Linked DNA regions of Nothobranchius furzeri. The protein of the gene in region 3 interacts with the protein of the main gene of each other region in a pairwise test. Links are inferred from orthologs where the notes say so. Each region holds a gene or a part of one and is shown on either strand. Other genes may lie near its edges.

Region 1 (3,657 bases), about 65 Mb from region 3:
ACACGCACACACACACACACACACTCACACATACGCACACACACATCTAATATCTGTTGTGAGGTCTGCACACATGCACATACACTCGTGCAGTCACACACACACGTACACACAGACACCCACTTACATACACGCATACACGCACACACGTGGGGCGACGGTGGCACAGGAGTTAAGAGCTCGCCCAGTAATCGGAAGGCTGCAGGTTCGAGTCCTGCTCAGTCTGTCGCTGTCGTTGTGTCCTTGGGCAAGACACTTAACCCACGTTGCCTGCTGGTGGTGGTCAGAGGGACCGGTGGCGTCAGTGCTCGGCAGCCTCGCCTCTGTCAGTGCGCCCCAGAGCAGCTGTAGCTACGTTGTAGCTCATCCCCACCAGCGTGTGAATGTGTGTGTGAATGGGTGAATGACCGATTGTGTTGTAAAGCGCCTTGGGGGGTTCCAGGACTCTAGAAGGCGCTATATCAAATACAGGTCATTTATCATTTACATAAAGACACACACACACACACACACACACACACACACACACACACACACACACACACACACACACACACACACACACACACACACACACACACACACACACACACTCATCTAGTATCTGTTGTGAGGACTGTATTTGACTTCCATTCATTTTAGTGACTGGATTGTACCCTAACCCGTAACCCAAACTAGACCTAACGAGTAGAGCTCTGCAACATTGTCCCAAAGTGAGGATCAGCAAAATGTCCTCAGTTTGGTACTAATTGATTAAAAAATGAATGGATTCTTGCTTTGAAGGCCAATAACAGTAATTAACATTTCTCACCTGTTGATTCTGGTTTATGTCAGAAACATGAATAATATAATGTTTGAGTTTCAGGTTGATTAAGCTGGTCCTGCTGGCCGATTCCGATCAGCACCAACTTTAGTTTATTTCAACATTTTAGCGTTGACAAAAAAACGTTTGTTGACCTAAATTAGAAGAAATCACAGATGTTTACTTTTCTTGTCTGAGTCTCAGAAGCGTTGCCGTCGTCTTTCTGCAGCGTTTGTATCGATCCGCTCGTGTTTCTACAGCTGATGTCCATCTGTAAAATCTACGAGTCTCGTGTATTTGAACGTAGTTTTTGCAGCATGTTAAACTTTCCTTCCTGGATCAGAATAAAGCTTAATCTGCTAAAAATAAACTGAAACCTTTCAGGTTAATAAACTTGACAGCCAAAATAAAAAGAGATGAACCCAAAAACCTGTGATGAGAATCGGCTCAAAAGACCTGAAATATCAGGTTTTTGTTCAAATGCACCCGGGTTTTGGAGTCCTCGTCTCCGAACCCTCGCCCCTAAATCGTGCCGTGGACGTTTTTCCTTCCGGAATCAGACGTTTAAAACAAGAATTCTGTTGATCCTGGCTCTTTGGGACAAATCAGAAATCGGTCTCAAAACCAGTATCGGTGCATTTGTGACATGAAGGCAAACCACTTGTTACTGTATTAGGTCTGATACTGTTGGTGATCTCCTGTCATCAGATTGACGTCCTCCAGGCTGAGGTCCAGGCCCTGAAGACACTGGTGCTGTCCTCCCCCACCTCCCCCGTGGCTGACCTCCCCTCTGCAGTGGGGGGAGGAGTTAAAACTCCCTTTAAAAAGGGCCACAGCCGGAACAAGAGCACATCCTCCGCCATTCTGGGGACACAGCCCGACCCGTCGGCCACGCAGCCCATCGTCCGGGAGTGTCGGGAGGTGGGCGTGTCTCCGGCAGTCCTCCTCAGGCAGACGGCTCGGTGCGGACTAATCTCTGGTGTTTACTGTCGCAGGTGGACAGTCAGCTGTTCAGTGAGTTCAAAGTGTGGAAGGAGGAGCCGACGCTGGAGCGGAGCTGCAGCTTCCTGGACAGAGTTTACCGTGAAGACATCTACCCCTGCCTCGCCTTCAACAAGAGCGAGGTACGGAACGTCCTCATCGGGCTTCCCGCCCAGATCAGAACAACCCTGAGACCAGCAGATAGACGTACTTAAGTCCTTTACTTAGAAACAGGATGTATTTCTTCTTCTTGAACGGTGTACGGCAGACTGCCCTGTTGACTGGTTTCCATGGCGACGTGCGGCTCTGATTGGTCCCAGCGCTTTCCAGTTACTGTAGACACTGCCTCGGGACCCGGGGACTTTAGTCTGAGTCTTCTTTCTCTTCCTCTTCCTCAGCTGGGCTCGGCCATCCTGGAGGCCGTGGAGCAGAACACGCTCAGCGTGGAGCCGGTGGGTTTCCAGCCGCTGCCCGTGGTCAAAGCGTCGGCGGTGGAGTGTGGAGGACCAAAGTTAGAACCTACACACTCTCTCTCTCTCTCTCTCTCTCTCTCTTCCCTCCATCATCACGTTTCCATCTTCCCTTTAATTTCCTCCTTTAGTGGACGAAGAGCCGAGCTCGTCACGTAAGTCCGACGTTCAATAATCCTCGACCTGCCTGGCTTTTCCTAACTCCCCTTCAGCTCCTCCTCCTCCTCCTCCTCAGGAAGCACCATCCTCACCTCCTTTACTCCTCTCCCTCCGCTGTTGGAACTAAACTTTTGTCTCGTTGACAGAAAATGTGCCCTGAGCGGTCAGACCAAAACCTGTAAGCACAGAATCAAGTTTGGAGACTCGTCCAGCTATTACTACGTGTCTCCGTTCTGCAGATACAGAGTGAGTGGGTCTCGCAAACATCTGGACGACGAGTCCAGATGTTCACACCATCGGTCGGGGAGATGGAGCTAAAAAAGAAACGCAAAATAGTTCAACCGATGTCTGCTCGTGTCGAGACGTTTACTGACTACGGGATAAAAGCTCGGCGTTTCTATTCCAGTTTAGAACTTAGTCAGCTCTGATTGGCTAGAAGGGTGATGATGTCATCGTCTAACAGGAGTTTTAGACAAACTGATGCAGGTTTTTGATTCTTTTATCTTTAGATCACAGCCGTGTGCAACTTCTTCACTTACATCCGTTACATCCACCAAGGACTCGTCAAGCAGCAGGATGGTGAGATGTACACACACACACACACACACACACACACACACACACACACACACACACACACACACACACGCTCATGTTCCCTCACTCACACGTTAGATGGGTCAGACCCGGTTTTAGGGGTGCAACAGATCATCACTGATGGATCTTTCTGCGGTTCGGCACGCACACGGTTTGCGGGTCGGCCACGTGGAGGACGGTGGGCTGCCTGCTGAGTCCAACGGAGAGACGCACACCGGTGGCCATGACGGAGGAGAGGAGCTTGAAAAACCACCTGCGTCCTTTAGATCACGTGTATGGGAGCATTTTGTCTCCACTGTAAAATACGACGACGATACGAACGGTGAAAATGATCCCGCGCCTCCAGTCTTAACGGCACCGCGCCGCACACACACCTCCGATCGCTGTGGAAGGATGGAGGGGTGGTGTGTGAAACATGCCTTGGACATAACAAACATGGCCGGACCTGTGATTGTTGTTGGGGACGACTCTGTAAAAGAGGGCAAAAGAAAAGTAAACGACATCCGAAAGGTGAGGAGAGGAGTGAAAGCTGGACACGAAGGGAGAGCGTGCCTAATGGGGCAAGCCGTTTTAACATTTAATCAGTAATCAGACCTCTCTGTAATTCCTGCTCAGTGTTGGGAGTAACGCCGTTTAAATATAACGGCG
Region 2 (3,757 bases), on a different chromosome or scaffold from region 3:
AACGGCTAAATGTGCGGTGCGCTAAACACACGTACAGCTTGCCCCAATTGCTGTGAGACCGGGTGGGGGGTGCAGCTGTGGTTGGGACAATTATTACATTAACTGATGGACGACTTGTAAATAAATAGTTTATAAATAAGGTAGAAATAACTTCCTCACGCTGATAAATAACTAATCTCTCTGAGGACACGGTGCTAGTGTACTCTCCTACAGCACATTGACACGACTCAATAAATGTTATGCAACATTTTGTGAACATCAATTTTTTTGCATTTATTTGTTATAAATGCCACTGTATAATTCTTGCTGTCAGTATTTGCAAGATATTGGTATTTGGGTCTGTACTGGTTAGACTTGAATGAGTTAAACCAAGGTCTATAGCCCTTGGGTCATAGACTATGAGCTACAAGTATATTGGTCTTTTTTTACTGGGAATCAGGAGTTATTTTAGTGATCATCTTGTTTCTTATTTATTTTTGTCCTGATTGTGCCCTGAGCAATTTTATGACTGAATAAAAACAAATAAAATCAACATAAATTGAAAAATCGTCCTAAATAATCGAGATCTCAATTTCAGTCACCATAATCGTGATTATTATTTTTGCCATAATCGAGCAGCCCTAGCCACAGCTGCAGCTCACCGCTCCCCACGGGGATGGGTCAAAAGCAGAGATGTAATTTCACCAGTGTGTGATGATGACTAATGGGACTTTAACTTAACCACCTGAACTGCAGAATTATCTGGTGATTTTGTGACCTCGCAAAACCAGATGTGTGGAACGCTTTTGCAGCCATTTTGCATCTTAATTGCTACCTGTGGCAAGGGAGCGTGGAAATAAAACGTGTCTATTACATTATGTACCGCTTAACATCAGGATTTAATTAATGATGGGCAACATTGTCATTACAAAACTCTACAAAATCACGGTTAATATTTATGGAGGAATGCGGGAAAACGTGCTACCAGATTTTTAATATGAATTTTTTCAACACAGTTAGTCGTGATGTGACGCTTTAAAAGCGCTGTGGTTTTGGGGAGTGAGTGTCAGTAGGTCGGCTGTTCTGAGTGTGTGCCGGGTCTACAAATACAATATGGCAGTACAAGTAAGCAGTGTATTTTTACACATTTTTGATCAATGGAACCAGGACAAGACGCTTCACCAACTAATACTATGTGCTTATGGTTTAACGTTGAACAAAAAATAATAATAATAGTGACATATCAGAGTTTAAAAAACATATTGACGTACTAACTGAGGATTAATGTTTACATGCTGGAAAGTAATTTTACATGAATTATAATTATTATTCTAATTATTAAGAAGTCTATCATTTTTAAAATAGAAGTGTGGTATAATTATGTCCTATAACGGCTTGCCACATATTTGAGTAAACAATGTTTGTTTGTTTTTAGATGATCGTGCGTTTAGTGAATCAAAGGTGATTTTAACAGCAACATTTCCCAAAATCCACGGTCCTGTTGATGATTAACTATCAGTTAAAACACTTTTTCATTAACTAGTCCAAGTACGGTAATTTAATCTTTGAAAATGGTTGACAAAGTTAACTCGTGTGCTGCTGAACCGATTGAAAGGTTAGTATTAGAAGACAGACCTGATTGTGAGGAGACGGAGCCTGTTTAAAGCAAGAGAGGACTTCGCTTTAGGCCCTGGTTGTTGCTCTTCTTTACGCCGATCAGGACCTGGATGAGGCCGGCTCCATGGCTCCGACTAGTCTGGCTGGATCGATGCTCGGGGTGCAGCGAGATCACGGCGTCAAAAAATAAACGATAAAAGCAAAACACTCGATGTTTAACCTGAAACTCGAACACAAAACAGATGTAGCCAAAGCAGGGCCCCGGAGTCAAGGGCTAATTGTGTCCCAGTGCCAGGCCCGCTGAAGAAAAAACGCATTCAGAGCAGGTGCAGCTTTAAAAACACACCGGATTTCACTCTCACGTGCTTCCCGAGTCCGTTGTTCTTCTTTTCGGCAGCTGTTTCTGCCTGGACCCGTCGGACGTGGAGAAAGGAGGGGGAATCCCACCGTATCACTTCTGTGTTTGCTGAGTGTTTGTAGCTTTTGGCTGCTGATGAAATGGCAGCGGGAGGAGCAGCATCATATAGCCTGACTCATCCCGCATCAGTACCACTACTACCGTAAAGGAGCGAGCACGGCCGCAACGAGAAACTCCGAACACTTCCTTAACTGCGAAACGGAGCTAAAAAAAATACACAGACGTGTTTATATGTTATCCAGCGTCACATAAACAGACAAATGATATGTTTGTTTTCTGACCATAAAACTCTCGACATATCAGCAGTGACAGTGCAAATGTAGCTAGATCACGTGGCTAATATTTAGCCTCTTAAACTTGCTACAATAAGCCTCACAGTGGATGACATTCTAAATAAACATGTTATCCAACAACGAGTTTAAAATCTGAACGCTTTTAAACGTGTTTGAAGCGTTTATTTTTCTTAGGAGAGTCGAACAACAGCCAGGAAGTTGCACAATCTGTCCCTGAGCTGTAGCTGCAGTGCGCAGTCGCGGAAGTGGTCACCGTTCGCGCTATTGCCAGCGGGAATTGTAGTCTTATATACATGCAAGCAGAAAAAACGTGTTAAGTTGTTTAATGGCCTAAAAAAACTCCTATTGTGAGTTTATGTGTTTGACAAATAATAATAAAAAATTATTTATTTTTGCGTTAATTAAAAGTTATTGGTTTGGTGGAGCAGTGGTTAGCGCTGTTGCCTTGCAGCAGGAAGGTCTTGAGATCTCATCCCAGCCTGGGATCTTTCTGCATGGAGTTTGCATGTTTTTCCTGTGTGTGTGTGTAGGTTCTCCAGCTTCCTCCCACAGTCCAAAAACATGACTGTCACGTTAATTGGTCTGTCTAAATTATCCTTAGATGTGTGTGTGTGCATGGTTGTTTGTCCTGTGTGTCTCTGTGTTGCCCTGCGATGGACTGGCAATCTGTCCATGTACCCCACTTGTTTGCCCGTTGACTGCTGGAGATAGGCACCAGCCCCCCGTGACCCTGCATGGAGAAAATGCATGAGAAAATTGATGGTTTGGTGTGGCCTTTGTTTAACCCCAGCCTCCCCCCATAAAGAGACGCCTCTTGAAATTACACAAACTGCCCATCTGAAAAATAGCTTTCAGACTTACAGATGATCAAATAAATATGACAAATAGGACAAAAATGAAAGGGGGAAAATAAGTAAATAAAAAAATTGTACCCAGGAAAGGTTTGTGTGTAAAAAAATGCTATACTTGTGGCCTCTTGTATGTTACTTTGCAGTCATTTATTATTAAAAAAAAAACAAATGTACTCCACTGTGTGTGTGTGTGTGTGTTTTGGAAAAAAAAGAATCACTTTAAAACAGAAATAAACTGGTCATTCAGAAGCATCAAAATATTTTTGCCTTTTTCATATCATTTTAACAGTCTGTTGAATGAAATGTTGATGAAAAGTTTTGATATTTAAAACATTTTTCTTAAAAATAACATCTCAAGCTAAGATTAGATGTTTAACTAAATTAATAAAATATGTTGACAGGTGGGTGGATTAAATGAGGTCATTGCTGTTTGCCCTGCATGACATATTGATCTGAAACATTGGCCAACATATTTTTGAAGTGTTTAGAAAATGTGAGCAAGTAAAAGATTAGTTAATAGTTAATCTAGTGCATTGTTTTGTGATCGGAGCACGTCATTAAGTTCCATCTGTAACTTTAATTCTGTTCCATCAACGAAG
Region 3 (3,757 bases):
TGGAAATCGTATAAATTGGCGGAAGCCTTTAAATTAAATGATAAAGTTGTTATTAAGAAATGTCTATATTCGCCTACTCCGTTTTGGTTATTTCCAAAAGTAATAATAGATTTTCATATTCAAAATGAAATTAAAATACGGAAAGGTGTGGGAAACTGGGATGATGTTGTGGAAGAAAGGTTAAATGACACATCAAGCATTCATCCCTATTTATACTGACGGGTCGAGAGAGTCAGGAAATATAACGGGATTTTCTTTCTGGATTCCAAAATTAGGTATATATCATAAAAGTTGAACATCTAATAATCTGTCAGTATATACAGTGGAAATGTTAGCCATTTCATTTAGTTTCCAGTGGATAGAACAAAATGGTGTTGGGAATAGTATTATTTGCTCGGACTCCATGTCTGTATTGTTATCAATTAAAGAAATGTCAGCTGATAAGAGGTCAGATATTTTGTATGAGATATTTGAGTGCTTGTTTAGGTTGATGAAGACTAATTCAGAGGTTAGATTTATGTGGGTTCCAGCCCACAGTGGAGTAGAGGGTAATGAAAAGGCTGATTATCATGCAAAGCAGGCAAGAAAACTGGATACTATGATGGAGGTTCTATATAGTGTTGCAGAGGTGAAATCAGTTATTAGACAGCAGATTCTGGATGAATGGCAAGAACAATGGATAAGGGATGTGAAAGGAAGACATTTATACAAATTAAAGGGAAAGGTTGGAAGAATGGAAGTCATTCCAATGAGTAACAGAAATCAAGCAGTGATAACAAGGATGAGAATGGGACATACAGCTTTGAACAGTACGCTTTTTATTCTTGGACGGCATAATACCGGTATGTGTGAATGTGGACGTGATAGGGAAACAGTAGAACATGCATTATGTACTTGTAGAAAATATGTGGGGAATAGGAAAATGTTAGTTGAAAAATTAAAAGTTAAAGGATATAAGAAATATGATTTGAATATTCTGTTAAATGGGGACTAGTGGTTTATAAGTTAGTCACAGACTTTTAAGGAAAAGTGGAATACTTAATAGAATTTAGTTTTTTTTTTGTAGGATACTCCCCACTTCAACTCACACTCCCATTCAGTAGGTGGCGGACATGCACCTGAGAGTTGGTTGCCACCCACCAATTAAACGACAAAAGAGGAAGAAGGTTGAAGGAGGCGGTGTGTGTTTGTTGGGGAAGTGGAGTGAGAGAGTTTATTCGTTTCGTTTAGTTGTTCTTAAACAATACATGCATACATTAGATTAACGTTTTAATATTCTGAAATTTTGCGCCCTGTCCGGCAAATAGCGCCTGCAGGCGAGGCGCTGCTCATCTCGAACAAGCCTGTGTACGGCAGGAGGACTGGTCACTCGAGTTCATGTTCGAAAAGGGAGGCGGAGTCAAACATGGCTGACGAAATATTGGTGATAAACACAGCTGTTGAGGACCACGAAGAAAACCAACACTTAGATGGGGCTGAAGTTTCAGGTCCGGCGGCTCACGGCAGCAACGGTGGGAACTCTGGCGAGAACACGACTCCGTCTGCGGAGGAGAGCAGCTGGTCAGCTCCTATCTTGTCTCTGGCTAGGAAGGCCACGGAGACGATTAGCAGTGGGATGAGCTACGCTACTGCCCCTAGAAAATCATCTCAGGGGTCCGCTACAGGTTCTCCATCGAAGAAAGGGTCCGAAAACTACCTGAACCACTCATCTTTAAACCATACGGGTATGACTCTTTAAATAACAATGAGATCCGACTAAACTAAGTTTCAGTGAGCAGTTACTTCCTCTTGCACTATAGTCAGCTGTCTAAAAACATGACACATACATAGGTGTGTGTGTGTGTGTGTGTGTGTGTGTGTGTGTTTGTGTGTGTGTGTGTGCGTATATATATATATATATATATATATATATATATATATATATACACACACACAGATGTGTGTATATATACATAGATGCGTGTATATACACATGTATATGTTTATATATACACGTATATGTGTATATATACACGTATACATGTGTATATACACATATATATACATGTGTGTATGTATATATATATATATATATACATGTGTGTATGTATATATATATATATATATATATATATATATATATATATATATATAGTGTATTAGGGTTGTCACGGTGTGAAAATTTAACCTCATGGTTGATGTGACCAAAATTATCACGGTTTTCGGTGTGATTGCGGTATTTTTTAAACAGTGTTGCATATGTTCAGAAAGCATTGATAGTCCTGTTCTACACAAACTGAAATAGCTTTGAAAAGGTTTAACAGTGTTTATTAAAGCTAAAATAACACAAAGCCTTAGCAAAAGTGCAACTTTTCACAAGTAAAGGAACAAATAGCTTATTTTTCTGGAACATGTTACAGTAGTCAGTGCAGGTTTAAATTATACAAATCCAAACATTCAAAACATAAACAATATGTAAACAAATCAAAGAAACACCACTTGTCTTCTCATATGCTTGTTTTCTTCATTATCAAAATAAGAATCTAAGGCCCTGTCCACACGTAGCCGGGATCTGCCAAAACGTAGATATTTTTCTACGTTTTGGCCTGTCATCCACACGAAAACGGATCTTTATAAAAACTCCGGCCAAAGTGAAGATCTGCGTTTTCTCCGTTTTGGGTGTCTGCGTGTGGACAGACAAAACCGGAGTTTTAAGGTCTGCAACGTCACTCTCCACGACAAAAAAATGATGACGTCACGTGTGCGACCTGTGTTTACACTAGCCAACAGCATGGAAGCCTTCAGAGCTGCACTCGCTTTATCAATTGTCCAAGTGCTTTTTGCTTGTTTGTTATTGCAAGCGGAATTACTGCTCCTTGCGGAAGACCACAGACGAAGGATGAGGTTAAGAACGGGGGAGGTACTGCCGCCTACAGGTCTGGCATGTCCTAAACAACATATTTATCCGGGTACGTGTGGACAGAGTTTTTTTTTTTAAAACGTGGTGGTGTGGATGCAAGTTTTTGGAGGGGCGGATATTCGTTTTTAAAAAACCCTGGCTACGTGTAGACTAGGCCTAAAACTCCAGTCCACACTTGACGTGAGCACTGTACAAGTCAACCTTAAAAAAATATGTGTTTAAAATAAATAGCCACTTTAAACAAATTACTAAAATAACTACTACACTATGTAATCAAATCCAAATGTTCAAGTATAAATGGCATTGAAAAAAAGTAAACAAGTCAATGGCTAGGAAGTAATTGTATATTTCTCTTCATCATCAACAAATAAGATGCTTCATCCAGCATCATGACTGTCAGCAAGCATGACCATTTATTTCAGGTTGAAATGCAAAAATGTCAACATATTAACCTTGTCTGGTTTAAGATGTGATCTAAGAGAGGAAAGAATATACCCGCTGGCACTGAATATTCCCTCTGATGGAACACTAGTTGCTGGAATACACAAAAGCTTTTTTGCCTGCCTGGTAAGATGAGGCAGCTCTGATGCATGGCCCCTCCACCACACCAGTGGATCATCATCAGCTAGAATGGATGGCAGAGACATGTAGACTTTGACTTCCTCCTTCACTTTATCTTCTGGGGTGGCTGGACCTGAACCCTCTTCAGATCGCTGCTGCCTTGTTGAGGTAATCTTTTTTAGTAACTCAGCAAGGCCTTTCCCTCCTGCTGCTGCTGTAGAGTTACTGCTGGTGCTTTGTGGTTCCTGCGTGACGTACAGGGGTCAGCTTCAAGGCCTCCTGAAAACAGCGGTCAAC

Evidence for each region.
Region 1: the proteins of rufy1 (region 3) and rab3ip interact in binary tests that used the Homo sapiens proteins (3 or more experiments, as listed by UniProt). The two-hybrid records come from large-scale screens. The link is inferred for Nothobranchius furzeri from reciprocal best matches to the Homo sapiens genes RUFY1 and RAB3IP.
Region 2: the proteins of rufy1 (region 3) and ras-related protein Rab-39B interact in binary tests that used the Homo sapiens proteins (3 or more experiments, as listed by UniProt). The two-hybrid records come from large-scale screens. The link is inferred for Nothobranchius furzeri from reciprocal best matches to the Homo sapiens genes RUFY1 and RAB39B.

What each region holds. Positions count from the first base shown.
Region 1 is NC_091741.1:38,168,729-38,172,385, forward strand, and holds part of rab3ip (rab-3A-interacting protein), read left to right. Parts: intron 1-1,510; coding exon 1,511-1,723; intron 1,724-1,797; coding exon 1,798-1,926; intron 1,927-2,181; coding exon 2,182-2,408; intron 2,409-2,558; coding exon 2,559-2,658; intron 2,659-2,921; coding exon 2,922-2,991; intron 2,992-3,657. UniProt on the Homo sapiens protein: Guanine nucleotide exchange factor (GEF) which may activate RAB8A and RAB8B. Promotes the exchange of GDP to GTP, converting inactive GDP-bound Rab proteins into their active GTP-bound form.
Region 2 is NC_091742.1:80,053,467-80,057,223, reverse strand, and holds the start of ras-related protein Rab-39B, read right to left. Parts: upstream 2,531-3,757; 5' UTR 2,296-2,530; intron 2,219-2,295; 5' UTR 1,615-2,218; intron 1-1,614. UniProt on the Homo sapiens protein: The small GTPases Rab are key regulators of intracellular membrane trafficking, from the formation of transport vesicles to their fusion with membranes.
Region 3 is NC_091741.1:103,294,090-103,297,846, forward strand, and holds the start of rufy1 (RUN and FYVE domain-containing protein 1), read left to right. Parts: upstream 1-1,174; 5' UTR 1,175-1,405; coding exon 1,406-1,724; intron 1,725-3,757. UniProt on the Homo sapiens protein: Activating adapter involved in cargo sorting from early/recycling endosomes. Regulates retrieval of proteins from endosomes to the trans-Golgi network through interaction with the dynein-dynactin complex.